4 linked regions of the Anolis sagrei genome follow. The protein of the gene in region 3 purifies or fractionates together with the protein of the main gene of each other region. This does not show direct contact. Links are inferred from orthologs where the notes say so. Each region holds a gene or a part of one and is shown on either strand. Other genes may lie near its edges. The genes, in order: PELI3, IRAK1, MAP3K7 and USP18.

Region 1 (8,172 bases), on a different chromosome or scaffold from region 3:
TTGTAAATATGGGGATTGAATTTATGGCACTGGAGGGTACCCCAATGTATATAAGGCATTGCTTGGGAGATTATAGATATGGGGGCGGAATCTGTGGCTCTGGAGGGTACCCCAACATATATGTGACATTGCTTGGGAGATTATTGATGTGGGGTCTGAATGGATATGATGATGATGATAATAAATGACACTGGAGGGTACCCCAACATATATGACACATTGCTTGGGAGATTATAGATGGGGAGTCTGAATGGATAATAATAATAATAATAATAATAATAATAATAATAATAATAATAATAGATGGCACTGGAGGGTACCCCGGTGTATATAAGGCATAGCTTGGGAGATTGTAGATATGGGGACGGAATCTGTGGCACTGGAGGGTACCCCAACATATATGACACATTGCTTGGGAGATTATAGGTGGGGGGCCTGAATGGATAATAAAATAACAACAACAACAAATCAATAATAATAATAATAATAATAATAATAATAATAATAATAATAGATGGCACTGGAGGGTACCCCAATGTATATAAGGCATTGCTTCAGAGATTGTAGCTATGGGGATGGAATTTCTGGCATTGGAAGGTACCCCAATGTATATAAGGCATTGCTTGGGAGATTGTAAATATGGAGATGGAATCTATGGCATTGGACAGTACCCCAGCATATATGAGAAACTGTATGGGAAGTTATAGGTGTGGGGATGGAACGGATGGCAGCAGAGGGTACCCCAATGTATATAACCCATTGCTTGGGAGATAGTAAATATGGAGATGGAATATATGGCACTGGAGGGCACCCCACACATATATGAGGAACTGTATTGGGAAGTTAGAGATGTGGGGGCTGAAGAGATGGCACTTTAAGGTACCCCAGTATCTATAAGACATTGCTATGGGGACAGAATCTATGGCATTGGAGGGTACCCCAATATATATGAGGAACTGTATGGGTAAGTTAGAGATGTGGGGACTGAACAGATGGCACTTTCAGGTACCCCAATGTCTATAAGACATTGCTATGGGGACGGAATCTATGGCATTGGAGGGTACCCCAACATATATGAGGAACTGTATGGGAAGTTATGGGTGTTGGGGTGGAACGGATGACACCTCAATGTAAATAAGGCATTTAAGATACCCCAATGTCTATAAGACATTGCTATGGGGACAGAATCTATGGCATTGGAGGGTACCCCAACATATATGAGGAACTGTATGGGAAGTTAGAGATGTGGGGACTGAACAGATGCACTTTAAGGTACCCCAATGTCTATAAGACATTGCTATGGGCACAGAATCTATGGCATTGGTGGGTACCCCAACATATATGAGGAACTGTATGGGAAGTTATAGATGTTGGGATGGAATGGATGACACCTCAATGTAAATAAGGCATTTAAGGTACCCCAATGTTTATAAGACATTGCTATGGGGATAGAATCTATGACATCGGAGGGTACCCCAACATATATGAGGAACCGTATGGGAAGTTAGAGATGTGGGGACCGAACAGATGGCACTTTAAGGTACCCCAATGTCTATAAGACATTGCTATGGCATTGATGGGTACCCCAACATATATGAGGAACTGTATGGGGAAGTTAGAGATGTGGGGACTAAACAGATGGCACTTTAAGGTACCCCAATGTCTATAAGACCTTGCTATGGGGACAGAATCTATGACATCGGAGGGTACCCCAACATATATGAGGAACTGTATGGGAAGTTATGGGTGTTGGGGTGGAACGGATGACACCTCAATGTAAATAAGGCATTTAAGGTACCCCAATATCTATAAGACATTGCTATGGGGACAGAATCTATGGCATTGGAGGGTACCCCAACATATATGAGGAACTGTATGGGAAGTTATGGGTGTTGGGGTGGAACGGATGACACCTCAATGTAAATAAGGCATTTAAGGTACCCCAATATCTATAAGACATTGCTATGGGGACAGAATCTATGGCATTGGAGGGTACCCCAACATATATGAGGAACTGTATGGGAAGTTATGGGTGTTGGGGTGGAACGGATGACACCTCAATGTAAATAAGGCATTTAAGGTACCCCAATATCTATAAGACATTGCTATGGGGACAGAATCTATGGCATTGGAGGGTACCCCAACATATATGAGGAACTGTATGGGGACGTTAGAGATGTGGGGACCGAACAGATGGCACTTTCAGGTACCCCAATGTCTATAAGACATTGCTATGGCATTGGTGGGTACCCCAACATATATGAGGAACCATATGGGAAGTTAGAGATGTGGGGACCGAACAGATGGCACTTTCAGGTACCCCAATGTCTATAAGACATTGCTATGGCATTGGTGGGTACCCCAACATATATGAGGAACTGTATGGGAAGTTGGGATGGAATGGATGACACCGCAATGTAAATAAGGCATTGCTTGGGACATTGTAGATATGGAGACGTATCAACGAGGCATAATTTGGGGAGATTATAGATGTGGGGACGGAGCGGATGGCGCCTTCCCCAGTGTGTTTGTAAATAAAGGGGTGCAGGAGAGTCATCCAAACCAAAGGAAGGACTAAGAGGGTGGCCTTTCTCTCCTGAAACCCAGCCAAAGTGTCTTTGGTGGATGAAGCCCCCTCCCCATTAAGCAGGTATAGGGCCCCACAAAGCATGGGGGGTGGGTAGACCCAAATGGGTCGAGGGTCCCGACAATGAGAGAGTAAATGCATGCATCAAGTCTGGGAGTGGAAGAGGAGGGCCGATGATGCCATAGACCCCCTCCCTTCCTCCCTGCCCGCCTCCCCCTCCCACCATACCCCTCCCACCTTGGGTCTGGGGTCCGGCTCACCCCTCTGTGCTGCTGGCCAAGCCTTGCTGCCTTTGCGGAGAGTCCCTTTGCTCAACAGCCGCTGCCTGCGCAGGATGGAGAGCCCTGCATTGCCGGAGGAAGGCGAAGGATGCTCAGAGGAGGAGGAGATGGAGGAGGCACAGATGCGGATGCTGCTGCTGCTGCTGCTCCAGAGTCTGCAACACACACACACACACACAAGCACACAACACAGGGAGGAAGGTGTGGGATCCTGCCCGGCCGCTCCTCCTCTTCCTCCTCCTTGCCTGGATGCTCCGAGCATCACTTTTCGGCCTTCTCCATAGGATGAAATCATAGGGTCCAAGGGCAGGAGGTGGGGGTGAAGTGCAACAGATCGAGAGTCGAGCCAAAACAATAATAATAAAGCAAGGGGTCCAAAGTCTTAAGTCTTAAGGAGGATAAATGGGTGGGTGGGTGGGTCAGCATCCCTTTGGCACAAAAAGCAGGGAGAAAAGTGGTACCCAACCGTCATGCTATTGAATGAATATTCAGCCTGTCATTGAACATCGAGAAAACCAAAGTGCTCTTCCAGCAGTCACCGGCCAATAATAGTAATAATAATAATAATAATAATAATAATAATAATAATGGGTTGTTGTAGGTTTTTTCGGGCTATATGGCCATGGTCTAGAGGCATTCTCTCCTGACGTTTCGCCTGCATCTATGGCAAGCATCCTCAGAGGTAGTGAGGTGCTTGCCATAGATGCAGGCGAAACGTCAGGAGAAATGCCTCTAGAACATGGCCCTATAGCCCGAAAAAACCCACAAGAACCTAGTGATTCCAGCCATGAAAGCCTTCAACAATACATAACAATAATGGGTTGTTGTAGGTATATGGCCATAGTCTAGAGGCATTTCCTCCTGACGTTTCGCCTGCATCTATGGCAAGCATCCTCAGAGGTAGTGAGGTCTGTTGGAAGTAGGAAAATGGGTTTATATATCTGTGGAATGACCAGGGTGGGACAAAAGACTCTTGTCTGCTGGAGCTAGGTGTGAATGTTTCAACTGACCACCTTGATTAGCATTTAATGGCTTGGGGGAAATCTTTTGTTGAGAGGTGATTTGATGTGCCTGATCCGCGCTACTGGTACGTCTCGACCTTACCGCAGCGTTTGACACCGTCGACTACGATCTAATGATTCACCGTCTTGCCATGTCCGGAGTTCGTGGTCAGGCCCTCAATTGGTTCAACTCATTTCTCCGGAACCGGAGTCAATGCGTGGAGTACATGGATCAAGTCTCCGATAGATCCCCCCTCCTATGTGGGGTCCCCCAAGGTGCAATTCTCTCCCCTCTTCTCTTCAACATCTGGGCACCACAATTCAAGAGAGATATTGACAAGCTGGAATGTGTCCAGAGGAAGGCGACTCAAATGATCAAGGGTCTGGAGAACAAGCCCTATGAGGAGCGGCTTAAGGAGCTGGGCATGTTTAGCCTGAGGAAGAGAAGGCTGAGAGGAGATATGATAGCCATGTATAAATATGTGAGAGGAAGCCACAGGGAGGAGGGAGCAAGCTTGTTTTCTGCTTCCTTGGAGACTTGGACGTGGAACAATGGCTTCAAACTACAAGAGAGGAGATTCCACCTGAACATGAGGAAGAACTTCCTGACTGTGAGAGCCGTTCAGCAGTGGAACTCTCTGCCCCGGAGTGTGGTGGAGGCTCCTTCTTTGGAAGCTTTTAAACAGAAGTTGGATGATGTATTGTTGAAGGCTTTCATGGCTGAAATCACTAGCTTCTTGTGGGTTTTTTCAGGCTATAGGGCCATGTTGTAGAGGCATTTCTCCTGACGTTTTGCCTGCATCTATGGCAAGCATCCTCAGAGGTAGTGAGGTTGGATGGCCATCTGTCAGGGGTGATTTGAATGCAATATTCCTGCTTCTTGGCAGAATGGGGTTGGACTGGATGGCCCATGAGGTCTCTTCCAACTCTTTGATTCTAATGATTCTACATCAAACAAAACATCAATAAACACAGCATTAACATAACAGTCAATAAAATGCAAATAATATAAATCACATAAACAAAAACAAGAATCAATAATGTCATATAAACAGTTTTAAAAATGGCAAGGGCCAAATGTAATAGATCAAAATTGAAAATATGCTGACGTGAACAAGGTAAAATATAAATGGGATAGCATTTTTCAAAGAGAAACGAGAGAGCGCATAATATGCATTATGAGGGCATATTGCTGAGAGTTCCCCTTATTCTGGGAAGGCACACTGGAACAACCATGTTTTCAGGCTCCTCCTAAAGACTGCCAACGTTGTGGCATGTCTAATGTCCCTGGGAAGTGAGTTCCAGAGTCGAGGGGCCACCACCGAGAAGGCCGTGTCCCTCGTCTTCACCAATCAGGTGGGAGAGTGAGCAGGGCCTCTCCAGATGATCGAAGAGATTGTGTGGGTTCGTACACAGAAATGCAGTCACACAACCCCTCTCCAATGCTAGAAATACAGCTTAATGGTGTAACACTAGAAAATGTGGACCATTTCCACTCCCTTGGCAGCCACCTCTCCACAAAAGTCAACATCGACACTGAAATTCAACACCGCCTGAGCTCTGTGAGTGCAGCTTTTTTTCCGAATGAAGCAGAGAGTGTTTGAGGACCGGGACATCCGTAGGGAGACCAAGGTGCTTGTTTATAAAGCCATTGTCCTCCCAACCCTGCTAAATGCCTGTGAAACGTGGACTGTCTACAGACGTCACATGCAACTCCTGGAATGATTCCATCAGTGTTACCACCGGAAAATCCTGCTAATCTCTTAGAAAGACAAGCGGATAAATGTCAGCATGCTGGAAGAAGCAAAGACCACCAGCCTTGAAGCGATGGTCCTCCGCCATCAACTCCACTGGACCAGCCACGTTGTCCGGATGCCCGACCACCGTCTCCCAAAGCAGTTGCTCTACTCCGAACTCAAGAACGGAAAACGGAATGTTGGAGGACAGGAAAAGAGATTGAAAGATGGGCTCAAAGCCAACCTTAAAAACTCTGGCATAGACACTGAGAATATATAGATTATTATTGTTCTATTATTATTACACTTTTATTATTTTAATATATATTATTTTAATATATAATTATTAATTATTACTATTATTTTAATAGGTAAAGGTAAAGGTAGTCCCCTGACCTTAAGTCCAGTCATGTCTGACTCTGGGGTGTGGTGCTCATCTCCATTTCTAAGCCAAAGAGCCAGCGTTGTCCGTAGACACCTCCAAGGTCATTATATAATTATTATTTCAAAGGAATGATAATAATTTATTATTATTTATATAGATTATTATTATTCTATTATTATTATTATATTACACTTATTATTGTGGATCTACTCTACACTGATCATCTAGTGCATTATTTGCCAGTGTGGATGCAGCATGAAATGGACCCAGCATGAAAGGATCAAGGCTTGGGATTTGTAGTTCTGTCACTTGGGGTTGCCCAAACTCAATAGTATGGCATGTTGGGATTTGTAGTTCCCAGAGAAAGAGAGGGAGGGAGAGCTCTTGGTGTGCAAACAAACTATAAATCCCACTTGGCTCAAGGCTGTGGGCTCCTGGGAGTTGTAGTCCTCGGAGGCCTTTGCCCAAAGAGCCAGTGCAGACCCTCCAGGGTGTTTCCCCCTTTGCCTGCTTTGAGTCAGGCCGAGGGAGGCGGGTCCCGGAGGAAGGGGAGGAGGAGGCGAAGGGCGTCAACTTGGCTCCGCCAGCCCAGGATGTTACATCACAGCCGGGCTTGGGGGCGCTGCCGGCTCGCTCTCCTTGGCCAAGTGCAGGCGGAGAGGAAGAGGCGGAGGAGGTGGAGGAGGAGGAGGAGGGAGCCATGGACAGCCAGGGGCGCCGCGTGGTGGTCTGCGACAACGGCACCGGGGTGAGGCCAGGACACCACTCCCGCTTAACCGGAAACTCTCAAGCAACCGGAATATATATATATATATATATATATATATATATATTCTTCTCTATCTCTCTTTCTTTCTTTCCCAATTTGTTTCACTTTATGATATCACCTCCTAAATGCCGGTTGCTTGAGAGTTTCCGGTTAACCGAAAACTCTCAAGCAACCGGACTAATATATATATATATATATATATATATTTCTTTCTTTCGTCCCAATTTGTTTCACTTTATGATATCACCTCCCAATGCTGGTTGCTTGAGAGTTTCCGGTTAACCGGAAACTCTCAAGCAACCGGACTATATATATATATATATATATATATTTCTTTCTTTCTTTCTTTCTTTCTTCCCAATTTGTTTCACTTTATAATATTAACTCCCAAGTGCCGGTTGCTTGAGAGTTTCCGGTTAACCGGAAACTCTCAAGCAACCGGCATTGGGAGATGATGTTATAAAGTAAAACGCACCTTGCAACGGTATCCCTCCCAGGATCCCACAGAACAAACGTCTGGAGGGGGAATGAGCAAGAATGGTAGTGCAATCCAAGGCAACTCTCAGTTAACCGGAAACTCTCAAGCAACCGGACATATATCTATCTCTCTCTCTCTTTCTCTCTCTCTTTCTTTCTTTCTTCCCAATTTGTTTCACTTTATAATATTAACTCCCAAATTGCCGGTTGCTTGAGAGTTTCCGGTTAACTGAGAGTTGCCTTGGATTGCAATACCATTCATGCTCATTCCCCCTCCAGACTTTTTTTTTCTGTGGGATCCCCCCGGGAGGGATATCTTGGCAAGGTGCGTCTGCACTGCAGAAGGTGACTCACTTCCATACCACTTTGCAGATTCTTTCCTGATTGTTTTGATTTTTGTAGTGGGTGGGCAATGGATGTAGAATTTGGAAGGGACCCCAAAGGCCATCCAGAACCACCCCCTTTCTGCAATTCTGGAGGACACCATCCAAGCCCATAATAATAATAATAATAATAATAATAATAATAATAATAATAATATAATATATGGTGAAGATTGAATACTTGACGTGGAAGGGAGCCTATTATTATTATTATTATTATTATTATTATTATTATGTTGGAGGCAAGTGAGAATGTTGCAATTGGTCCCCTTGATTAGCATTGAATGGCCTTGCAGCTTCAAAGCCTGGCTGCTTCTTACCTGTGGTCCAGCATTTCTGTGTTCTCAAATAATAATACTGTGCCCTGATTGTTTCATGTCAGAAAACAATCAGGGCTAGGTAACAAAGGATTCTTCCAGGCAGGAAGCAGCCATGCTTTGAAGCTGCAAGGCCATTCAATGCTAATCAAGGTGTATTATCATCTTTGATGGCCTTTAGGGTCCCTTCCAAGTCTAGTATTCAATCATCATCATATTTTAATAATATTATATTA
Region 2 (7,923 bases), on a different chromosome or scaffold from region 3:
AGTGGGCGGGCCACATATACAAGATAAAATGTTAAAAACTCTAATGAGATAAAAATAGGAGCATATCTATCTATGAATTCATATCTGAGTGTTTAGAGCTATACCAAGTGTTTCAAGAAAGGATTACAGCAAAATTCAAAAGGAATAAATACTTAGCCTAGAAAAACATATGGAAATATGTAGACACACAGAGGAAGAAGCTGCAAAAACGAATTTCCCCTTTATTAAATGTATTAACCTAATATGTTTTTAATGGATTAATACTCCTACATTTAATTCTACTTTTAAACGCGTTTGGTTTTAATATTCACTTTGTATGAATCTTAGCCACTTTGAGTCTCCTTTGAGGGAGAAAATGCGAGATATAATAAATAAATACATATCATGATAATAACACCACAACCAAAAATGTCCTAGTATCTTGATTTTTAGACCTGTTCCTTTGGTTATTTGGGGCCCTGGTTCAGAAAACTGCATTGGACAGACCACATCAGCTGTTGTTTCTTTGATACGGCTATCAATACACTATAATACAAAACTTTATTACGGTCACTGACCAGCACAAAGATATGGTTTTCTAAAGGAGAGCAGATAAGGAATCGGCAGGACAAATATACCCAGAAACAGGGCTAACATTTGGGTACCAAAATGTGTGTTATGAATCTTAGGTCACTTATACACTGTCATATAATTTTGTTTATCAAAGCAGATAATCCACATTATCTGCTTTGAACTGAATTATATGAGTCTACACTGCCATATATTCCAGTTCAAAGCAGATAATCTGGATTTTATATGGCAGTGTAGAAGGGGCCCTAGGCTTTTCACAAGAACTGACTGTGTGTTTTAGCAGCCTTCTTTGGTATATATATATGTGTGTGTGTGTGTGTGTGTATACACATATATACAAAATTAGGCTACTAAACTCCACTGTCTGTTCTTGTGAAAAGACTACAATTCCTTCTATGCTGCCATATAAAATTCAGATTATCTGTTTTGAAATGGATTATATGGCAGTATAGACTTGGGACCCTTCCTTACTGCCAAATGATCCAGATTATCCGATTTGAACTGGATTATATGGTAGAGTAGACTCAGGGCCCTTCCACACAGTCCTATAACCCAGAATATCAAGTCAGAAAATATCACAATATCTAATTGAAGTGGAATATCTGAGTCCACACTGCCATATATTCCACTTCAAAGCAGAAAGAGTGGGATTTCATTCAGCTGTGTGGAAGGAGCTTCTCGTCCCTTCTATACTGCCATATAAAATCCAGATTATCTGCTTTGAACTGGATTATATGGCAGTGTGTACTCAGGCCCTTCTACACTGCTATATAATCCAGATTACCTGCTTTGAACTGGATTATATGGTGGTGTGTACTAAGGCCCCTTCTACACTGCTATATAATCCAGATTATCTGCTTTGAACTTGATCATATGGGAATGTAGACTCAGACCTTCTACACTACCATATAAAATCCAGTTTATTTGGATTATATGACAGTGTAGACTCAGCCCCTTTCTACACTGTCATACAAAATCCAGATTATCTGCTTTGAACTGGATTATATGGGCGTGTAGATTCAGGCCCCTTCTACACTGCTATATAATCCAGATTATCTGCTTTGAACTTGATCATATGGGAGTGTAGACTCAGCCCCTTTCTACACTATCATACAAAATCCAGATTATCTACTTGGAACTGGATTACATGGCAGTGTGTACTCAGGCCCTTCTACACTGCTATATAATCCAGATTATCTGCTTTGAACTCGATTATATGGGAGTGTAGACTCAGCCCCTTTCTACACTATCATACAAAATCCAGATTATCTACTTGGAACTGGATTACATGGCAGTGTGTACTCAGGCCCTTCTACACTGCTATATAATCTAGATTATCTGCTTTGAACTTGATTATATGAGAGTGTAGACTCAGACCCCTTCTACACTGCCATATAAAATCCAGATTATCTGGATTATATGGCAGTGTAGACTCAGTCCCTTTCTACACTACCATAAGAAATCCAGATTATCTGCTTTGAACTCAATTATATGCCCATGTAAACTCAGGCCCCCTCTACACTGCCATATAATCCAGATTATCTGCTTTGAACTTGATTATATGGGAGTGTAGACTCAGACCCCTTCTACACTGCCATATAAAATCCAGATTATTTGGATTATATGACAGTGTAGACCCAGCCCCTTTCTACATTGTCATACAAAATCCAGATTATCTGCTTTGAACTGGATTATATGGCAGGGTGTACTCAGGCCCCTTCTACACTGCTATACAATCCATATTATATGCTTTGAACTTGATTATATGGGAGTGTAGACTCAGACCTTCTACACTGCCATATAAAATCCAGATTATCTGGATTATATAACAGTGTAGACTCAGCCCTTTTTTACACTGCCATAAGAAATTCAGATTATCTGCTTTGTACTTGATTATATGGGAGTGTAGACTCAGTCCCTTTTTACACTGTCATACAAAATCCAGATTATCTGCTTTGAACTCGATTATATGCCCATGTAAACTCAGGCCCCCTCTACACTGCCATATAATCCAGATTATCAATGCAGATTATCCACATTATCCGCTTTGAACTGGATTATCTAAGGCTCCTTCCACACAACTGCATAAAATCCACATTGAACCGGATTATATGGCAGTGTGGACTCAGATAACACAGTTCAAAGCAGATATGGTGGGTTATCTGCCTTGATATTCTAAATTATATGGCTGTCAGGAAGGGTCCTAAATCTACAATGCCATATAAACTAGTTCAAGGCAGGTGATTCAGATTCAAAGCAGATAATCCGGTCCTGGATTCATAATACTGCCCTGCCCTCTATCCCAGGTTCTGATCCCAGATTTACTCTATTTAAACTGGATTATATGAGTCTCCACTGCCAGATAATCCGGGATCAGATCCTGCCTGAGAGGAGGGGCGGCCACACTCCCTGAGGGGAAGCCAGGAGAGCCACTCACCGAAGCGCTGCCACTCCGCCCGGCCGAGGGCGTCCATAATCTCGTAGAACTGGCACATGACAGTGGCCGGCAACTCGTACAGGAACCTGGGCGAGTGGGAACCGGCCATCCCCCGCGGGCCCTTCCCCTGGCGGATAAGGCTGCTGCTGCTGCTGCTGAGGCGGCCACCCTCCTCCTTCTCCTTCTCCTCGTCCTCCGCCCAGGCCAGGCCATAGGAGAGGCCGGACGAGGGGGCGGGAAAAGGAGAAGAAAACGAGGAAAAGAAAGAGAGAGAGAGAAACAGAGACTGAGGGAGGAGGAGGAGGAGGCCGCCCCGAAAAAGGGCCACTTCCTCTTTAAAGCACGAGCCGCGCCCCCTTGGCAGCTCTGCGCCTGCGCCGACGTCTCCTCGCTTCTTCGGCCTGGTTGACGGAGCAGCGTTGGGAGGTCAGTCAGGCCGCCATCTTGAGTGCGGCACAGCATGACGGGAAACTTCCTTAATCCTACGTGAGGCAGCCATCTTGAATGCGGCAAAGCCTCTATTGGCCTATTGCTTTGCCTCACCCGCCTTCAGTTTCGCTGACTGCTGCTTCTATGGACATTTTGAGTGTTCCAAATGCTTGGGACCAAGAGTGTTTGAACGTTGAGAGCTTGTATCTACTTTAAAGCCTGTGGCTGCCTCCTTCCTGAAGGATTCTGGGGCTTGTAGTTTAGGGAGAAGACTTTAAGAGAGGTCCTGAGCCTCACTAAACTACAAGCCCCAGAGTTCATCGGGAGGCAGCCACAGGATTTAAAGGAGTGGTTCTCCACCTTCCTAATCCCATGACGCCTTAATACAGTCCCTCGTGTAATGATGACCCCCAACCATAACATTGTTTTTGTTGCTACTTCATAACAGTCATTTTACTACTGTTATCGATCATAATGTAAATATTAGATATGCAAGATGTATTTTCATTCACTGGACCAAATTGGGCACAAATACCCAATGCACCCACATGTAAATGCTAGTGGGGTTGGGGGAGGATTGATTTTGTAACTTGGGAGTTGTAGTTGCTGGGATTTATAGTTCACTTATAATCAAAGAGGAGCCCCCGGTGGCGCAGTGGGTTAAAGCACTGAGCTGCTGAGCTTGTTGATCGAAAGGTCGCAGGTTCGATTCCGGGGAGCGGTGTGTGCTTCCGCTATCAGCCCTAGCTTCTGCCAACCTAGCAGTTTGAAAACATGCAAATGTGAGTAGAGCAATAGGTACCGCTCCGGCGGGAAGGTAACAGCGCTCCATGCAGTCATGCCGGCCACATGACCTTGGAGGTGTCTATGGACAACGCTGGCTCTTCGGCTTAGAGATGAGCACCACACCCCAGAGTCAGACATGACTGGACTTAATGTCAGGGGACTACCTTTACCTTTACCTACCTTATAATCAAAGAGCATTCTGAACTCCACCAGTGATGGATTTGAACCTAACTTGGCACACAGAACTCCCATGACCAACGGAAAACCCTGGAAGGGTTTGGTGGGTATTGACCTTGAGTTTGGGAGTTGTAGTTCACCTATATCCAGAGAGCACTGTGGACTCATGCAATGGTGGATCTGGACCAAACTTGGCATAAATACTCAGTATGCGCAAATGTGAACACTGGTGGAGCCTGGGGAAAATAGACCTTGACTTTTGGGAATTGTAGTTGCTGGGATTTATAGTTCATTATAATCAAAGAACATTCTGAACTCCACCAACAATAGAATTGGCTCAAACTTCTCACATGGAATCCCCATGACCATCAAAAAATACTGTGTTTTCTGATGGTCTTTGGCGACCCCTCTGACACCCCTTCATGACTCCCTCAGGGGTCCCGACCCCCAGGTTGAGAAACACTGATTTAAAGGGATAGCTGCTGTAGTGTGATGAAGTTTGTAATGAGGTAGCTTGGCCATGGGACCCAAGTCTAAGCACCACATTAATGTTTAAAGGTAAAGGTTGTCCCCTGACATTAAGTCCAGTCATGTCTGTCTCTGGGGTGTGGTGCTCATCTCAATTTCTAAGCCGAAGAGCCGGTGTTGTCCGTAGACACCTCCAAGGTCTTGTGGCCAGCATGACCGCATGGAGCGCCGTTGTTTACTGCATACATATCTTATACGTACGTTTAAGATCAAGTCAGGAGATGCTGTGGCTTTAATTTTAATATGCATTGATTATGTTGAATTGTTTTTAAACTGAATTTTTAATACTGTTTATATTGAATTCTGTTTCAATGTTTGTATATTTTATATTAGCCGTCCCTTGCTGCATTGCTGTGGCCCAGTCTGGTGATCTGGAAAATAAAGTAATGAGTGTTGGTTTCTAATATATGTAATTTCTTTATGCTTGTGGATAAACTGTATTTGATTACATTTTCAAATACTGATGGAAGGGAGTCGGACTGGATGGCCTTAAGTATTTTCTTTTGGCCATAGGGGTTATGTGTGGGAAGTCTGCCCCAATTCTCTCGTTCGTGGGGTTCAGAATGATCTTTGATTGTAGGTGAACTATAAATCCCAGTAACTACAACTCCCAAATGTAGTCTATTTTCCCCAAACTTCATCTGTGTTCCTACTTGGGCATATGGAGTACTCCTGCCAAGTTTGGTCCAGATCCATCATTGTTTGAGTCCACAGTGCTCTCCCAAACTCAAGGTCAATGCCCACCACACCCTTCCAGTATTTTCTGTTGGTCATGGGAGTTCTGTGTGCCAAGTTAGGTTCAATTTCATCATTGGTGAAGTTCAGAATGCTTTTTGATTGTAGGTGAACTATAAATCCCAGCAACTACAACTCCTAAATGACACAACCCCCCCCCCCCAACCCCACCAGTATAAACTTAATAGTATTTTAATGGGAAGTGTGTGCCTGCTTTTTGTCTGAAGAGATAGGTAAACCATATTTGATTACATTGCTGTTGTGTGCTTTCAAGTCGTTTCAGACATAGGTTGACCCTGAGCGAGGGCCGGGTAAATGACCTTGGAGGGCTGTATCTGGCCCTCGGGCCTTAGTTTGAGGACCCCTGACTTAAGCCCCCCCCCCCCCCCGAATCAAAATTCTGGCTATGGGCCTGCAGTGGGGGAAGAGTGTGAATGATAGCTATCAGAGACTGAAATGGGGACACTGGTTGGTTGAAATAACACTGAAGAACATATATATGTCCATGGAGCTTACCTTTTTATCCCATTATGAGGTATTGCCATCAGAAGGACAGGTCTTTCCTTGTTTGGAAGCGGATACACTCATGCCTGACTTGCTATTCTCTCTGAAGAATGTAAGCCCTTTCTACATGGCATTCTTCTGTGATGGCAGTCCTCTTGGAGCCTGATTAGGACATATCCTGTAAGCAACTCAAATAATAGGAGAAATCCAGGATAGTCTGTATGACAGATTTTTGTGCTGTTGACCAAGATAAAAGGCAAAGTCACAACACTGTTGCCAGTGCCATCACAAGCCTGCAATATTTCAATATTGTAGTTGATTTTAACGCATTTTGGGGTGTTGAATTTGAAAAACAAACAAAAAATGTCATAAAACACAGTTATTTCACCAATTTAATTCCTAAATTCCAACACTTATTTCATCAGTCACATAGTATAACCTAAGAGTCCTGAAAGCAAGTTGTGAAAACAACTGTAATATAGCAAATCTGAGGTCTTTTTGTTTGGATTTCGAATGCCAAATTCTTATAGAACCTGCAAACATTTTTAAAAAATAGTTATTATGACACTCATTTTTGCAATTCTGTGAATTAGTGTGCATGCATGTGGTGGGCTGGTGTTCTGTAAACGGTTTGTATGTATGTACACAGTTGTACTCTACAAAGCTGGGCCCTTTTAAAGAATCACGGAAGTACCTGGCAATCAACTTATTTAGTTATTTATTTATGAAATATATGCCCCATCTTTCCTGCCTCAAGGCAGCTTACACTCAGTATAAACATACAATATAATTGTTTAAACAAAACCATAAATATGAGTGAATGCTGTGAAACACTAATTAAACCCCAATAAAATACATTGAATACCACACTGATAATACGTAACAAAGTCGAAGAGCCTTCCTAACTTAGTTTCCTCCAAAGACTTCCTTTGAAAAGGAGGTTTTTTGGCTCATCCTGAATGCCAAAAAAGAGAGTGCAGATCTAATCTCCCCTGGGAGGGCATTCCAAAGAGAGGGAGCCACTCCCAAGAAGGACCCCTCTTTAGCGATCGTCAAATGGAGACTGTCACGGATGCTTGAGGACACCAGAATTTCCCCACTTGATCTTAACAATCTCCTCAGTGTTTACAAAGGAACCCGTTGTCTCAGGTAATCTGGACTGATGCTGTGAAAGGCTTTAAAGGTCAAAATTAGTACTTTAAATCAGACCCGGAAACTAAATGGGAGCCAATGCAGCTGTTTCAGGAGTGGGATACTTGGTTCTCTTATATCCACTCACGCTAACAACCTACCTGTCGATCTTTGAACAAATTGAAGTTTCCAAACCGTTTTCAAAGGCAGCCCCACATAGAGTGCATTACAGTAGTCCAGGCAGGATGTAACCAAGGCATGTACTACAGTTGACAGGTCAATTTTTTTCAGGAACGGCAGCAGTTGGCGCACCAGTTTAAGTTGTGCAAAGTCAATCCTGGTAACCTCCGCCACCTGGGTTTCCAGGTTTAGACTCCAGAACCACCCTCAAACTGCGAACCTGAGCTTTCAGGGGTAATGTAACCCCATCCAGCTCCAGTTGGGATCCAGTTCCTGATCCATACTATGTGAGACCAGTAGTACTTATGTCTTATCTGGATTCAGTTTTTATTTGTTTACCCTCATCCAGCCTATTACTGGCTCCAGGCATTAGTTCAGGCACAGCACGGCTTCCTTGCCATTAGCTAGTGAAAAGGAATAATAGAGTTGAGCATAATTTGTGTACA
Region 3 (7,786 bases):
TGATGTAGCCTAAGGTTGCTCATGACTAACATAAAACAGGTTTTCAATTATATTCTATGTGACTACAAATTGCCAACCCTCCAGTTAAAATATAAAGATATACAACATACCACTTGAGGTTGCTTTGTTGTTGCTGTTGCATGTGTGCTTCCAAGTCATTTTGGGCCAATGGTGACCCTATCACATGGTTTCCTTGCCAAGATTTGTTTTTCTGCCATTGACTGGGGGCCCTTCCACGCAGCCCTATATCCCAGAATATCAAGGCAGGAAATCCCACATTATCTGAGTGTTCACCCAGATAACCCAGATCAAAGCAGATATTGTAGGATTTCCTGCCTTGATATTCTGGGATATAGGGCTGTGTGGAAGGGCACAGCCTTGGTCTGAGGCTGAAATAGTGCTCTAGGTCATTTTGTGGGTTTAGTGGTCAAGTGAGGATTTTCAGACCCTGGCCTTCAAAGTCATAATCCAAAATTCAAAACACTACATCATGTTTGCTTTGAACACATCGCTTGAAAAATAACTAAACCTGCTGTAGAAAAACAGCAGTCTCTTAAAAAGTGTGGTTGAAGTCTTTCATGGCTTTTATTTGTTTGATGCATACCTTTAGGGAATACTCAGGTCCTTTATGTGAGCCAAATCTCCACAGGTTACCCTGAGATTTAAAATTAAGACCAGGTTTCTGGACGGGCACTTGAAAAAGTGTATTGGTTTTATTGTTTTGTTATATTTTACCTCTTGTTTCTCTACTCACTAACTGATAAGAAGTGACCCAATAATATCCCTAAAAACTTCATACCTTCTACACTGCCATATAATCCAGATCATCAAAGCAGATAATCCAGATTATCTGCTTTGAACTGAATTATATGAGTCTACACTGCCATATAATCCAGTTCCAAGCAGGTAATCTGGATTTTATATGGCAGTGTAGAGGGAGCCTGAGTTTGCCAGATCTGACTCTAAATAACTTTTGAGTCCTGGTTTCTCTCAAAAATCTGTCCATATTTGAGTAGGGATGTGATTTGAATTCTAATGTATTTATTTATTTCTTATGTCCAGTGGTCCTCTCATCTTCACTAAGGAGTGAGAAGTACCAAGAAGTTGTACTTAGGGGTGGGATGCAGGAGAAAAAGACCATTTCCTGAATAACACTGGCGTCCTGATAGCAATGTGCAGTGCAGTCCTCTACATATTTCTTCATGGATTTTGTCCCAAGCAAGGACTTAAAGCAGGCATGGGTAAACTCTGGCCCTCCAGTAGCTGTTAGGAATTATGGGAGTTGGAAGTCCAAAATATCTGGAGAGCCAAAGTTTGCTTATGCCTGACGTAAGGAATAGTTTTGGGGAGCATCTAAATAAAGTAGAGGAAATGCAGTTTGACATCACTTTAGCTGTCATGACTCAGTGCTCTGGAATGATGGGAGATTTGGTTTTACTAGGCCTTCTCTGCCAAAGAGTGATGGCTCCTCACCAAACCACAACTCCCAGTACTAAATAAAATAGCCTTTAGTACTCTCTCCCAAAGGAGATCAGAATGGCCCAATTGCTGTCCTCCTTTAGGAAGCAAATAAAAACCTTAAAAAACCCATAACCCAGGCTCATGGAGATGTGAATGGTCAAAAATCTGGCCTTATGAAATAAGAATTTAATATTGCCATGGCTTTTAATCATGTTTTTATTGATACTGTTTTTAATTTGCTATTATTGTTTCACTTGTGATTTGTATGATTGTTGAATGTGCTGTTAATTTATTGCAGTCGTCTTATTGTTTAGTTATTATTAGTTTATATTGATGTTGTTTTATTTATTGTGTCGACTGATTTGTTGTTTTTCTGTTTTTATTATGACACTGAATGTTTACCACTTTTGATGGAAACCAGAGTCCCCATGGGGAGATGGGGTGGGAGAGAAATAAAGTTTTGCTTATTTACTTATTTGAGTCAAGGTAGTTAAAGTGATGGGAAGCTGCATTTGTTCCGTGGTGTAGTATATACATCCTTTGAAATCAATATGAACGGTGGCAATGTCTATGGGCCCTTCCACAAAGCCATATAACCCAGAATATTAAGGCAGAAAATCCCACAATATCTGCTTTCAACTGGTATGTATGGCAGTGTGGACTCACACAACCCAGCTCAAAGCAGATATTGTGGGATTTTCTGCCATGATATTCTGGGATAGAGGGCTGTGTGGAAGGCCTGGAGTCCACATTGTTTTATATTTCAGTTCAAAGCAGATAATGTGGGATTTTATTTAGCTATTGCAGAAGGGGACCAGAATCTCAAGGCAGAAAATCTCACAATATGTGAACTGGGTTATCTGAGTCCACACTGTTAATATATCCCAGTTTAAAGCAGATGTGGGATTTTATGTAGCTGTGAGGAAGGGGCTTCACAATATAATTGCAGAAAATCCCACAACATCTGCTTTGACTCGAGTTATCCGAGAGCCCTTCCACACAGGCCTATATCCCAGAATATCAAGGCAGGAAATCCCACATTATCTGAGTGTGGACTCAGATAACCCAGTTCAAAGGAAATACTGTGGGATTTTCTGCCTTGATATTCTGGGATATAGGGCTGTGTGGTAGGGCCCCCAAAATATCAAGGCAGGAAATCCCACAATATCTGCTTTGAACTGGAATATATGGCAGTGTGGACTCAAGATAACCCAGTTCAAAGCAGATATTGTGGGATTTCCTGCCTTGATATTCTGGGTTATATAGCTGTCTGGAAGGGCCCTGAGTCCAGACTGTCTTATAACCAAAGCAGATAATGTGGGATTTTCTTCAGTTGTGTGGAAGGGGCCTAGTCCTCACCTCTGGCGAACACCAGTGGTCACCAACCTTGGGGGTTTGGGACTTCATCTCCCAGAATCCCTCAGTGCTGTCCTGGATGTTTGGGGCTGCTGGGAGCTGAAGTCCGGACCACCTGGAGGGCCGAAGTTTGCCCGTGCCTGAGCGAAGGCCATACAATGCAGTGCCGGTGGGGCCTTAGGCTTGAGTCCCTCGAGTGTTTTGGACTTCGTCTCCCAGAATGCCCCAGTGCTGTCCTGGCTGGCCGGGGCTCCTGGGAGTTGAAGTCCCCCAAGGCTGGGCGCCCCAACGCCCGGCGCGGCCCAGGACCTCACCTCTTCCACCTCGATGGCTTTGTAGTCGATCTCCTCGAAGTTGAGCACGGGCTGGGTGTCAATCATGTCCGCGGGGCCGGCCGAAGACATCCCTCCGCCCGCCGAAGAGGCTCCTCCGCCGGGCCGGCTTCACCGGAGGCCCATGGCCCCGCGGGCTCGGCGTGAAGCGGGGAGGGCGAGGGCCGCTCCTCCGCCGGGCCTGTGCCCTGCTCCCCGGCCTCTTCCCGCTACTGCCTGCGAGGCCCAGGCGGAGCCATGGCTGGCGGCGGAGGAGGCAAGGAAGCCAGCGGCCCTCCTCTTCCTCCTGCCCGCCCGCTTCCCGGAGCCGCCCCGCCCCCTCCCCCCGCCCTCCCACGAAGGAGGGAGGCTCAGCCGGGCACCACCCCGCTGCTAGGCCTCAAGGCGGTGGGATCCCGGGTGGGAGCTCTCGTCTGGGGAGGCAGCAGCACTCTTCGGCAAGGGAAACGGGGGGCCCTATAGGACTACAGCCCCCAGGATCCCATAGCAATAGACCTTGGCATTCGGGAGTTTTGGTTGCTGGGATTTATAGTTCACCTATAATCAGAGATAAATGCAAGGCTGGGGTGAAAATTGCTGGAAGAAACCTTAACAACCTTAGATATGCAGATGATACCACTTTGATGGCTGAAAGCGAGGAGGAGCTGAGGAGCCTTCTAACCAAGGTGAAGGAAGAAAGTGCAAAAGCTGGGTTGCAGTTAAACATCAAAAAAACCAAGACTATGGCAACAAGAATGATTGATAACTGGGAAATAGAGGGAGAAAATGTGGAGGCCGTGACAGGCTTTGTATTTCTAGGTGCAAAGATTACTGCAGATGCAGACTGTGGCCAGGAAATCAGGAGACACTTCGTGGGAGGAGAGCAATGACCAATCTCGATAAAATAGTGAAGAGTAGAGACATCACACTGGCAACGAAGTTCCGCATAGTTAAAGCAATGGTATTCCCTGTAGTAACCTACGGATGTGAGAGCTGGAGCATAGGGAAGGCTGAGCGAAGGAAGATAGATGCTTTTGAACTGTGATGCTGGAGGAAAGTTCTGAGAGTGCCTTGGACCGCGAGAAGGTCAAACCAGTCCATACTTCAGGAAATAAAGCCCGACTGCTCATTGGAGGGAAGGATAGTAGAAGCAAAGATGAAGTACTTTGGCCACATCATGAGAAGACAGGAAAGCTTAGAGCTGGGGTCCTCAAACTTTTTAAACAGAGAGCCAGGTCATAGTCCCTCAAACTGTTGGAGGGCCGGATTATAATTTGATAAAAATTTGAATATGAATTAATTCCTATGCACACTGCACATATCTTATTTGTAGTGCAAAAACCCTTTAAAACAATACAATAATTAAAACGAATAACAATTTAAACAAATATAAACTTATTAGTATTTCAATGGGAGGTGTGGGCCTGCTTTTGGCTGATGAAATAAGGTTGTTGTTGTTGTTGTTGTTGTTGTGTGCTTTTAAGTCATTTCAGACTTAGGTTGACCCTGAGTGAGGGCCGCGTAAATGACCTTCGGGGGCTGTATCTGGCCCCTGGGCCTTAGTTTGAGGACTCCTGGCTTAGAGAAGACAATGATGCTGGGGAAAATGGAAGGAAAAAGGAAGAGGGGCTGACCAAGGGCAAGATGGATGGATGGCATCCTTGAAGTGACTGGCTTGACTCTGAAGGAGCTGGGGGTGGTGACGGCCAACAGGGAGCTCTGGTGTGGGCTGGTCCATGAGGTCACGAAGATTTGGAAACGATTGAACAAGAAACAACAACTGCAATCGGAGAGCATTCTGAACCCCACCGAGAGAATTGGGCCAAACTTCCCACACAGAACCCTCATGACCAACAGAAAAGCCCTGGCAGTTAAAAGTGTTGTCAAAGTATCAATTCCCCACTGTGTAGATGCGCCGAGGGAGTGCTACTGTCCTCATCGTTAAATATTTTAATAACTGTTTCAATAATCATTATGTGTGTTTATATAATTTATGCACATTTTTATACAAGATGTAACTGGTGGGTTATGTTAACATTTAATTTTTGTTCAATTTTGTCGTAGCTTTTGTTTACTTTTGGTATTTGAATAGTTTGTTTTTGTATTCTCTTTAAGAATGTGTTTTAGCATTACATATTTGCCATTTTTTTTTGTTGGAATCCACCCTGAGTCCCCTCGGGGAGAGAGGGCAGAATACAAATAAAGTTTTATTATTATATTGTTATTACTCTCCGCTAGCACTGAATGGAAGCCAACGGTGCCAGAGGGGTAAATCCTGTACAACTAATGCAGTTTGAATTGATAACATGGGTTAGAGCCCTTCCAGATAGCCATATAACCCAGAATATCAAGGCAGAATAACCCACAATACCTGCTTTAAACTAGGGGTCCTTCCAGGCCCTATATCCCAGGATCTGATCCCAGGTTTTCTCTTTAATAATAATAATAATAATAATATTGACCTCACAGTCGTGTTAAAAAACAGAGTATGGATAGTTGATATTCCAATACCAGGCAACAGAAGGATTGAAGAGAAACAACTGGAAAAGCTGACACAATATGAGGATTTAAAGATCGAACTGCAGAGACTGGCACAAACCAGTAAAGGTGATCCCAGTGGTGATTGGCACACTGGATGCAGTGCCTAAAGACCTTGGCCTGCACTTAAACACAATCAGCGCTGACAATATTACCATCTGCCAGCTGCAAAGGTCCATCCTACTGGGATCTGCATGCATTATTCGCTGATGCATCACACAGTGGGAAGTGTCCAACGTGTCATCCAATATAACAGCCAGAGTGATCTTGTTTGCTGTGGACGCATCTTGTTGTGTTTCAAATAATAATAATAATAATAATAATAATAATAATAATAATACTAATCATCATCATCACCTTTCTTTATAACCCGCCCTATCTCCCCAGGAGGACTCAGGGCATTTCCCAAACAAAAAGTGGCAAACATTCAATGCCATACAAAAACCAACTGACAGAGGGTTGCTATGAGTTTTCTGGGCTGCATGGCCATGCTCCTGGACCAGAAGCATTCTGGAATATGGCTATACATCCCGGAAAACTCACAGCAACCCAGTGATTCTGACCATGAAAGCCTTTGACAACACATCAAACAGATAGGCAAACCAAATCAAAACAATAAGTAAAACATCAATATAAACATATAATAACAAAAAAGTACTTAAAACAAACACTGCCCTCTATCCCACACTGCTCTCTATCCCAGAATATCAAGGCAGAAAATCCCACAATGTTTGCTTTGAACTAGATTATCTGAGTCCACACTCAGATAATGTGAGATTTTCTGCCTTGATATTCTGGGATAGAGGGTTGTGTGGAAGGGACCCAAGTCTTATGCAATCATAAGAGTTTTAGTTTTACCAGGTCTTCAGCTTTCTCTGCTCAAGAGTGCTGCTGCCTCACCCAACTATAGATCCCAGGATTCCATAGAATCAAGCCATAGCGGTTAAAAGTGGTATAAAACTGCTCTCTAACGAGCAGTGGACATATGTGATAAAGAGCATGATAAAAGGGCACCAGAGTTCAAAAATATTGACAAATTGGACAGTGTCCAGAGGAGGGTGACTAAAATGATCAAAGGTCTGGAGACCATGCCCTATGAGTAGCGTCTGAAAGAGCTGGGCATGTTTAACCTGCAGAAGAGAAGGCTGAGAGGAGACATGATAGCCATGTATAAACATGTGAAAGGGTGTCAGAAGGAAGAGGGATCAGGCTTGTTTTCTTCTGCCCTTTAGATTAGGACTTGAGGCAATTGATTCAAATGACAGGAAAGGGGATTCCACCTGAATGTTAGGAAGAATTTCCTGACTGTAAGAGCTGTTCAGCAGTGGAATTGTCTGCATCCGAGTGTAGTGGAAGTTCCTTCCTTGGAGGCTTTTAAACTGAGGCTGGATGGCCATCTGCCAGCAGTGCTTTGATTGTGCTTTTCCTGCATGGCCCATGCAGTCTCTTCCAACTCTATTATTCTGTGATTCTAATTCCAGGGTATAGATGCACCCAAGACCCCCCCACCACACACACACAACTCCCCCAATAAAGATTATTAAAAAAAGAAAGATCCCCCCCCCCCCCGGGTTCAGCACTTGCCTGGGGAGCAAGCTTGTAGAAAGAATAGTTTTAGTTCTTTGTCCTGTTTCCATGACCAAAATGCTGGATACAAGCCTTTTACCATTTTTGATATCATAGAATCATAGATAGGAAAATGATGGAAAGAATAATCTAATTTAATTTTAATATATTTTATCAGTGTGTTTTAACCATGTTGTATCTGGCCTCAAGCTGTGAGGAGAGACATTTAACAAATGAATAATAATAATAATAATAATAATAATAATAAGCTCCTGCAAGAAGATCACACAGACAGACTACAAGCAGAGGCATAACATCGTTGCTCAGATTATTCATTGGAACTTGTGCCACAAATACCATCTCCCTTTGAAAAAGGACTGGTGGGATCACAAGCCTGAAAAGGTTACAGAAAATGAACATGTCAAACTACTCTGGGACTTCCGAATTCAGACTGCCAGAGTTTTGGAGCACAATACTCCTGACCTCACGATCATGTTAAAAAACCAAGTATGGATCGCCAATGTTGCAATCCCAGGTGACAGAGAAACAACTGG
Region 4 (7,898 bases), on a different chromosome or scaffold from region 3:
GGTTTCGACTGAAAAAATTAGGATGACCTTCCTGGGGAGTGGCATAGACTGCCTCGGAGTGTGGTGGAGTCTCCTTCTCTGGAGGTTTTTCCACAGAGGCTGTGTACTGGGAGTGCTTGGCAGAAGGTTAGACTGGATGGCCCTTGGAGGTCTCTTCCAATTCTAGGATTTTAGGATTCTATAGCAGGAGTAGGCAATATAGAGTCTCTAATGGATACACTTTGTCTCTCTCATCCACCATCTCATCCTGACCAAGGCCAACCCTTTTGGGATCCAAATGTTTCCTGTCTTTCCTTCACTTTCTGCTTCCAAAAGAGAAGAGGAAGGAGAGGAAAGGGCAGGGAGGGGGCTTGGGGAGAACCCCCTCCCTCATAGCCTGCCCACCCCACCGCAGCCTACCATGTGGCCCCCAAGTTAGAAAGTTTGCCCACACCTCTCCTAGACTATATAACTGATTATATTATAGACCAATTGGCATAGATACAAAGAGGATTTCCTGGTCAATATTCCAAGCAGATTTCAACATCGCAATATTTTATTGCAATGTTTGTTATTATATTGTTTCCCTTTATTCTTCCTTGTTTACATTTGTTACCATTTTGATAAGGGAATCAGCTGACTTGCTTGTTTGGGCTATTACTTTATGGATTCATTTAGTAATTGCAAAGTACCAGGAAAGCATCTGACATTTTGCCAAAATATAACATATATAGTTACCTGGAAAATAGACATTTAAACTGTACATAAAATGCTTGGATAAATTACATTTGAAGCAATGGAAAGAAAGCCATTAAACCAAAGGTCTCATGCTCCCAAGATTAAAACTAAGTGTTGTTAAAGGCTTTCATAGCCGGAATCACTGTGTTGTTGTGAATTTTCTGAGCTGTATGGCCATGTTCCAGAAGCATTCTCTCCTGACATTATGCCTGCATCTTTGGCAGGCATCCTCAAAGGTTGTGAGGTATGTTGGAAAGTAGGAAACTATATCCACAGATATATAAACCCCATTTTCCTAGTTTCCAACAGACCTCACAACCTCTGAGGATGCCTGCCATAGATGTAGGCAAAACGTCAGGAGAGAATGCTGCTGGAACATGGCAGCTTAAGCAGCTGAGGGGGGAAAGGAAGGGGCCTGAGGCTGTTAGGAATGGTGGGATTTGGAGTCCCAAACACCTAGAGGGCTCAAGTTTGCCCATGCCTGATCTACACTGTAGAATTAACACAGTTTGATGCCACTTTGACTGCCATGCCTCAATGCTATCAAATCCTGGGAATTGTACTTTGGTGAGGCATCTAACTTCTTTGGCAGAGAAGACTAAAAACCTTGAAAAACAACAACTCCCAGGATTCTGTGGCATGGCAGTTAAACTGATGTCAAACTGCAGATACACCCATATCCACATATATAACATGGGAGTCAGTTGCATCATCTCTCCGGGAATTTAAAGGCAATGCATTTAGAAGTGAGGATGCATTTGAAGGACCAATGTTGCAAAAAATATAAACACAATGTGGATCCAATGATGCCCAACCCAGAAAAAAAGGGATTCAAAGGGTACATCTACACTGCAGGATGAATGCAGTTTGAGAGCACTTCAACTATCCATGGCTCAATGTATTTTCGAAGGCTTTCATAGCTGGAATCACTGAGTTGTTGTGAGTTTTCTGGTCTGTATGGCCATGTTCCAGAAACATTCTCTCCTGACATTTCGCCTGCATCTATGGCAGGCATCCTTAGAGGTTGTGAGGTCCTTGGCAGCCACCTCTCCACAAAAGCCAACATTGACACTGAAATAAAACACCGCCAGAGCTCTGCGAGTGCAGCATTTTTCCGAATGAAGCAGAGTGTTTGAGAACTGGGACATCCGTAGGGAGACTAAGCTGCTGGTTTACAAAGCTATTGTCCTCCCAACCCTGCTATACGCCTGTGAGACGTGAACTGTCTACAGATGTCACACTCAACTCCTAGAACGATTCTATCAACACTGCCTCCGGAAAATCCTGCAAAACTCTTGGAAAGACAGGAGGACAAGTATCAGTGTGCTGGAAGAAGCAAAGACCACCAGCATTGAAGCGATGCTCCTACACCATCAACTCTGCTGGAGTGGCCATGTTGTCCAAATGCCCAATCACCATCTCTCAAAGCAGTTACTATATTCCCAACTCAAGAACGGAAAATGTAATGTTGGTGGACAGGAAAAGAGATTTAAAGATGGGCTGAAAGCCAGCCTTAAAAACTGTGGCACAGACAGCAAGAACTGGGAAGTCCTGGCCCTTGAGTGCTCTAACTGGAGGTCAGCTGTGACCAGCAGTGCTGCAGAATTCGAAGAGGCACGAATGGAGGGCAAAAGGGAGAAACGTGCCAAGAGGAAGGCGTGTCAAGCCAACCCTAATCAACTCTGGCATAGACACTGAGAACTGGGAAGCCCTGGCCCTTGAGTACTCTAACTGGAGGTCAGCTGTGACCAGCAGTGCTGCAGAATTCAAAGAGGCACAAATGGAGGGCAAAAGGGAGAAACGTGCCAAGAGGAAGGCGTGTCAAGCCAACCCTAATCAACTCTGGCATAGACACTGAGAACTGGGAAGCCCTGGCCCTTGAGTACTCTAACTGGAGGTCAGCTGTGACCAGCAGTGCTGCAGAATTCAAAGAGGCACAAATGGAGGGCAAAAGGGAGAAACGTGCCAAGAGGAAGGTGCGTCAAGCCAACCTTAACCGGGACCACTTTCAACCTGGAAACCGATGTTCTCACTGCGGGAGAACATGTGGGTCAAGAATAGGGCTCCACAGCCACCTACAGACCCACCGACTTGGAGGACCATCATCCTTGGGCTATGAGGGATCACCTAATGTGGGTCAAGAATAAGGCTCCACAGCCACCGACTTGGAGGACCATCATCCTTTGACTATGAGGACTCACCTAAATAAGTAAATAAGTGTGTAAATAAGTTTGGGCTGTATGGCCATGTTCCAGAAGCATTCTCTCCTGATGTTTCGTCCGCATCTATGGCAGGCATTGTGAGGTCCATGGCTCAATGTTATGGAATCCTGGGAGTTGTAGTCTTACCTGGTCTTTAGCCTTCCCTGCTGATGGAGTTTGGAGAAAATAGACTTTGACATACTTGCTGGGATTTATAGTTCACCTACAATTAAAGAGTCCTGGTGCCCCACCAAACTTCAATTCCGAGGATCCCAGAGCATGGAACTAAGTCTTGCCTGAGTGCAATAACTCTACAGTACTGTAGATCAACCCCAAAAGGCCAGGTTGGAGAAGGATGGCTTGGAAGGTAACTTACGGTGATGGAGGAGGAGGAGGAGGGCTCAACCTTTCCCGGCTGCTTGGTCTCCACTCCGCTCGACTGTGCGTCCACACTAGCGACAGGGAAACTTCCGATCCTGGCGCGGTCGGCTCCCTTTTTGACAGCTGTGCGTCACTTCTAGAGGGCAGCACCGAGCAGACGGCCATGAGTTTTGATTTCCCGCTGAAGGGCGGCTCGCTTTAGAAAGTGAAACTTAACCAGCTTCGTTTCCAAAGCGCCTCCGCCTCCTCGTTCTCCTCCACCTTCCTTTCCTACCTATGCAGCCCAAGGACTCTGCTCTCTTAGGTGCCTCTACACCAGTGTTTCTCAGTCTTCCTAATGCTGCGACCCCTTAATACAGTTCCTCATGTTGTGGTAACCCCCAACCATAACATTATTTTTGTTGCTACTTCAGAACTGTAATGTTACTATTGTTATGAATACTCAATATGCCCAAATGTGAACACTGATGGAGTTTGGAGAAAATAGACTTTGACATTTGGGAGTTGTAGTTGCTGGGATTTATAGTTCACCTACAATCAAAGAGCATTCTGAACTCCATCAATGACGGAATTGGACCAAACTTGGCACACAGAACTTCCATGGCATGAATACTCAATATGCCCAAATGTGAACACTGATGGAGTTTGGGGAAAATAGACTTTGACATTTGGGAGTTGTAGTTGCTGGGATTTATAGTTCACCTACAATCAAAGAGCATTCTGAACTCCACCAACGATGGAATTGAACCAAACTTGGCACACTGAACTCCTGTGACCAACAGAAAATACTAGAAGGGTTTGGTAGGCATTGAGCTTGAGTTTTGGAATTATAGTTCACCTACATCCAAAGAGCATTGTGGACTCAAACAACAATGGATCTGGACCAAATTTGGCACAAATACTCAATATGCCCAAATGTGAACACTTATAGAGTTTGGCGAAAATAGACTTTGACATTTGGGAGTTGTAGTTTCTGGAATTTATAGTTCACCTACAATCAAAGAGCACTATTTTCCTACTGCCCTCTACCTTTCCAAGCATTACTTTCTTTTCTAGTGACTATTACTTTCCTAGTATATGGCCAAGCACAACAGTTTCACTTTAGCCATCTGGACTTCTAAGGAGAGTTCAGACTTCATTTCCTCTAGGACAGTGGTTCTCAACCTCCCTAATGTCATGACCCCTTAATATAGTTCCTCGTGTTGTGTTGACCCCCAACCATAACATTATTTTTTTTGTTACTTCAGAACTGTAATATTGCTATTGTTATGAATTGTCATGTAAATACCTGGCATGCAGGATGTATTTTCATTCACTGGACCAAATTTGGCACAAATACCCAATACGGCCATATTTGAATACTGGTGGGATTGATTTTGTCATTTGAGAGTTATAGTTGCTAGGATTTATAGTTCACCTTCAATCAAAGCACATTCTGAACCCCACCAACGATGGAATTGAACCAAACTTGGCACACAGAACTCCCATGAACAAGAGAGAATACTGGAATAGTTTGGTGGGCATTGAGCTTGAGTTTGGGAGTTGTAGTTCACCTACATCCAGAGAGCACTGTGGATTCAAACAATGATGGATTTGGACCAAACTTGGCACAAATACTCAATATGCCCAAATGTGAACACTGGTGGAGTTTAGGGAAAATAGGGCTTGACATTTGGGAGTTGTAGTTTCTGGGATGTATAGTTCACCTACAATCAAAGAGCATTCTGAACCCCACAAATGATAGAGTTGGGCCAAACTTTCCACACAGAACCCCCATGATGAACAGAACATCCAGTGTTTTCTGATGGTCTTTGATGACCCCTGACACTTCCTCACAAACCCCCAGTTGAGAAACCCTGTTCTACACTATTTGTCATGGCTCCTTGCATCCCAAGTCACACTTTCAAGTATTTATGTAAAGTGCTTTGATCAGTGCCAGCAGTCTGGGCTCCATATTGATATCAGTTAATTTCCTCCATAACGTCTCTCTATTTACAGTATCAAATGCCTCACTAAGGTTTATAAAGGCAGCATATAGTTCTCCCTGCTGCATTTTTTTGTTTCTCCAAAACCCTCTTCCTGCAATTTTGCCACATCATCTGTGGAGCCTCACATATGAAATTCCCTTCGCTATGTGCATTAGATTTCATGTCCCTCCCCACGTACATCCTTTTGGCTTAGGTTTACGTCTCCCCTTCTTTCCTGATGTGTCACAGCCAAGAAATGAAACTTAAGAGAAGGAAATGTGTGCTTTTCTCATGCCCCAACCCTAGATTGCTGAAGGCTCTCACCATGGAAAACCAGAAGAAGGTCATCCTTCATGTGTGTCAGGGCCAGATGACAGTTGGATAAGGTAAACACGTTTACTGTGAACTGGGATGCATCCGTGCTGTAGAATTAATGCAGTTTAGCATCACTTTAACTGCCAAGCTAAAAGCTCTGGAATCCTGGGATTTGTGTTTTGGTGAAGCACCGGATCTTGCAAAACTACAACTTCCATGATTTCATAGCATTCCATACAGGCATGGCAGTTCAAGTAGAATCAAACTGCATTAATTCTACAGTATAGATGCAACCTAAGACATTTAAATTACACTACATAACACTTTTTTTGCTCCTAGGTTATAAATGTAATTTCCTAATTGTTTGTATCCTGAAAGCATGGAAAAAGTTTACAAAACTTATCCTGCAGCACATTTTGCTATCGTTTTTCAATTAATATCTGTGTCTCAAGCAATGCAACATAGTTTGGCAGCCACAAAAATGAAGTTTCTGGAGTATAACTACTTTCTTTTTTTTTTTTTGAAGTTTAAAATAATCTTTATTAGTTTTAGTTAAAAAAAAAGTATACGGTATCTAATCGGGTAAGTATAAGAAGGTGGGGACAAAAGATGGGGATAGAGGGGGAATGATAGTATAGAGGGGGGTAGAGTGGGGGAGATGCTTTTGGTAGTTGTTCAGAATAAAGGGTGTGCCAGGTGTAGAAAAAGAAATTAAGGAGGTCACTGTGAGGGAAAAGAGGGTGTGTGATAGGTGTATATCTGACATTGACTTCCCGGTATCTTCTGGAGGTTCTTCCTCTTCCTTCGCTCCTTCTTTCTTCCAAACTACTCCTCTCTCTTCTCTCTTCTGCTCTCCCCCTTTTGTTTTGCTTGCCACTTTTTCATATGATTATTTTCATATTTTTTTTCTTCTATCAAGTATGTTGTTACTTGTTTCCAGTCAGTTTCTACTGATGGAGTGCCCCCTTTTTTTGAAAGTATGTAAGTTAATTTGTCCATATTTCTTATATCCAGGATCTTTGTTAGCCATTCTTCTTCTCCCGGGGGTTCTTTTTCCTTCCAATGCTTTGCATATATTATTCTGGCCGCAGTTGTTAAGAGAAATAGAATTTTGTCCTTATTCTTCTCCATTTTTATATCATGGATCCCTAGTAGGAATGTTTCTGGTTTTAGGGGTATATTTATCTTTAAATTTTTTTGTAATGATTTTTGTATACTTTTCCAATATGTTATTGCTTTTGGGCATGTCCACCATAGGTGGTAATATGTCCCTTCATGTTTTCTGCATTTCCAGCATTTTGTATTCGTATTTTTTTTGAATTTCCCTATCTTATGTGGTGTTATATACCACCTATATGCTATATGCTAAATTGGTTTAAGATAGCATATAGGGAGTATAACTACTTTCAAAGTAACTACTGCACAATTAAATGGGAATAACCGTTTCAAACCAGGAAACGTTTGTTTTCATTTTTTGTTACATAGTGTTATTTAAGGATAGTATTCAGCACCCTGAGTATCTCCTTTAAAGTTTGGACGTGAAGGCCAATGCAGATTCAGTGCCTTATTGACACCAACCACTAATATGTGGTTGCCACTACAGTAGGCATCTCTTCTCCTTGATATAAAACCGTCAAAATAGTTTTAAGGCACATTAAGGCTCCTTCTGTTTATTTTCAGCAATCAGTCCTGTTAGCTTGCCATTTCTGACTATGAACCAAGCTTACTGTGCCCTCAAAATCCACTAAAACGGAGCCTTCTGGTTCAAATGTTTCTCCTAGAAGCGTCTATTACAGGCACGGGCAAACTTGGGCCCTCCAGGTGTTTTGGACTTCAATTCCCACAATTCCTAGCAGCCGATAGGCTGTTAGGAATGATGGGAGCTGAAGTCCAAAACACCTGGAGGGCCCAAGTTTGCCCGTGCCTGTTCTATCGAATGGTACCTGGTGCAAAAGAAAAGTGCAGTAGGCCCTCCATATCCATAGATCCTGTATTGGAAATAGCAACCTTCTCAAGCCTCCACTAGTTATTTGTTATGTAAATAATTGCTTACTGTATTGTGTGTGTGTGTGTTGGTTTGCAGTTTTCCGTAATTCTTTTGTTGTGGGAGGGGCTGCAGACCATGTGATCAGATCTGGGCTTGTTCAGGACTCAGACTCCATTTTAGCACAGTTCGGTTTAGACTTCAGTAGAAAAGTAGGCGTTTAAGGAGACAGTAGGAACAGGTATGCTTAGAGACTTCAGTAGGAACTGTACACTTAGAGACTCCATTGGACTTTCAGACTAGAAACAGAGACTCTATTAGACTTTCAGAACA

What was found.
Region 1: the proteins of MAP3K7 (region 3) and PELI3 purify together in Homo sapiens (affinity purification with western blotting; 3 studies listed by BioGRID and IntAct, with this or other methods). This does not show direct contact. The link is inferred for Anolis sagrei from reciprocal best matches to the Homo sapiens genes MAP3K7 and PELI3.
Region 2: the proteins of MAP3K7 (region 3) and IRAK1 purify together in Homo sapiens (affinity purification with western blotting; 5 studies listed by BioGRID). This does not show direct contact. The link is inferred for Anolis sagrei from reciprocal best matches to the Homo sapiens genes MAP3K7 and IRAK1.
Region 4: the proteins of MAP3K7 (region 3) and USP18 purify together in Homo sapiens (affinity purification with western blotting; 4 studies listed by BioGRID, with this or other methods). This does not show direct contact. The link is inferred for Anolis sagrei from reciprocal best matches to the Homo sapiens genes MAP3K7 and USP18.

Annotation. Positions count from the first base shown.
Region 1 is NC_090032.1:9,730,278-9,738,449, forward strand, and holds the start of PELI3 (E3 ubiquitin-protein ligase pellino homolog 3), read right to left. Parts: upstream 3,179-8,172; 5' UTR 2,848-3,178; intron 1-2,847. Other genes in the region: actin-related protein 2-B-like, read left to right, coding at 6,691-6,738. UniProt on the Homo sapiens protein: E3 ubiquitin ligase catalyzing the covalent attachment of ubiquitin moieties onto substrate proteins. Involved in the TLR and IL-1 signaling pathways via interaction with the complex containing IRAK kinases and TRAF6.
Region 2 is NC_090022.1:175,996,801-176,004,723, reverse strand, and holds the start of IRAK1 (interleukin-1 receptor-associated kinase 1), read right to left. Parts: upstream 3,351-7,923; 5' UTR 3,117-3,350; coding exon 3,008-3,116; intron 1-3,007.
Region 3 is NC_090021.1:104,198,511-104,206,296, reverse strand, and holds the start of MAP3K7 (mitogen-activated protein kinase kinase kinase 7), read right to left. Parts: upstream 3,452-7,786; 5' UTR 3,222-3,451; coding exon 3,132-3,221; intron 1-3,131. UniProt on the Homo sapiens protein: Serine/threonine kinase which acts as an essential component of the MAP kinase signal transduction pathway. Plays an important role in the cascades of cellular responses evoked by changes in the environment.
Region 4 is NC_090025.1:180,572,372-180,580,269, reverse strand, and holds the start of USP18 (ubl carboxyl-terminal hydrolase 18), read right to left. Parts: upstream 3,464-7,898; 5' UTR 3,295-3,463; intron 1-3,294. UniProt on the Homo sapiens protein: Interferon-induced ISG15-specific protease that plays a crucial role for maintaining a proper balance of ISG15-conjugated proteins in cells. Regulates protein ISGylation by efficiently cleaving ISG15 conjugates linked via isopeptide bonds.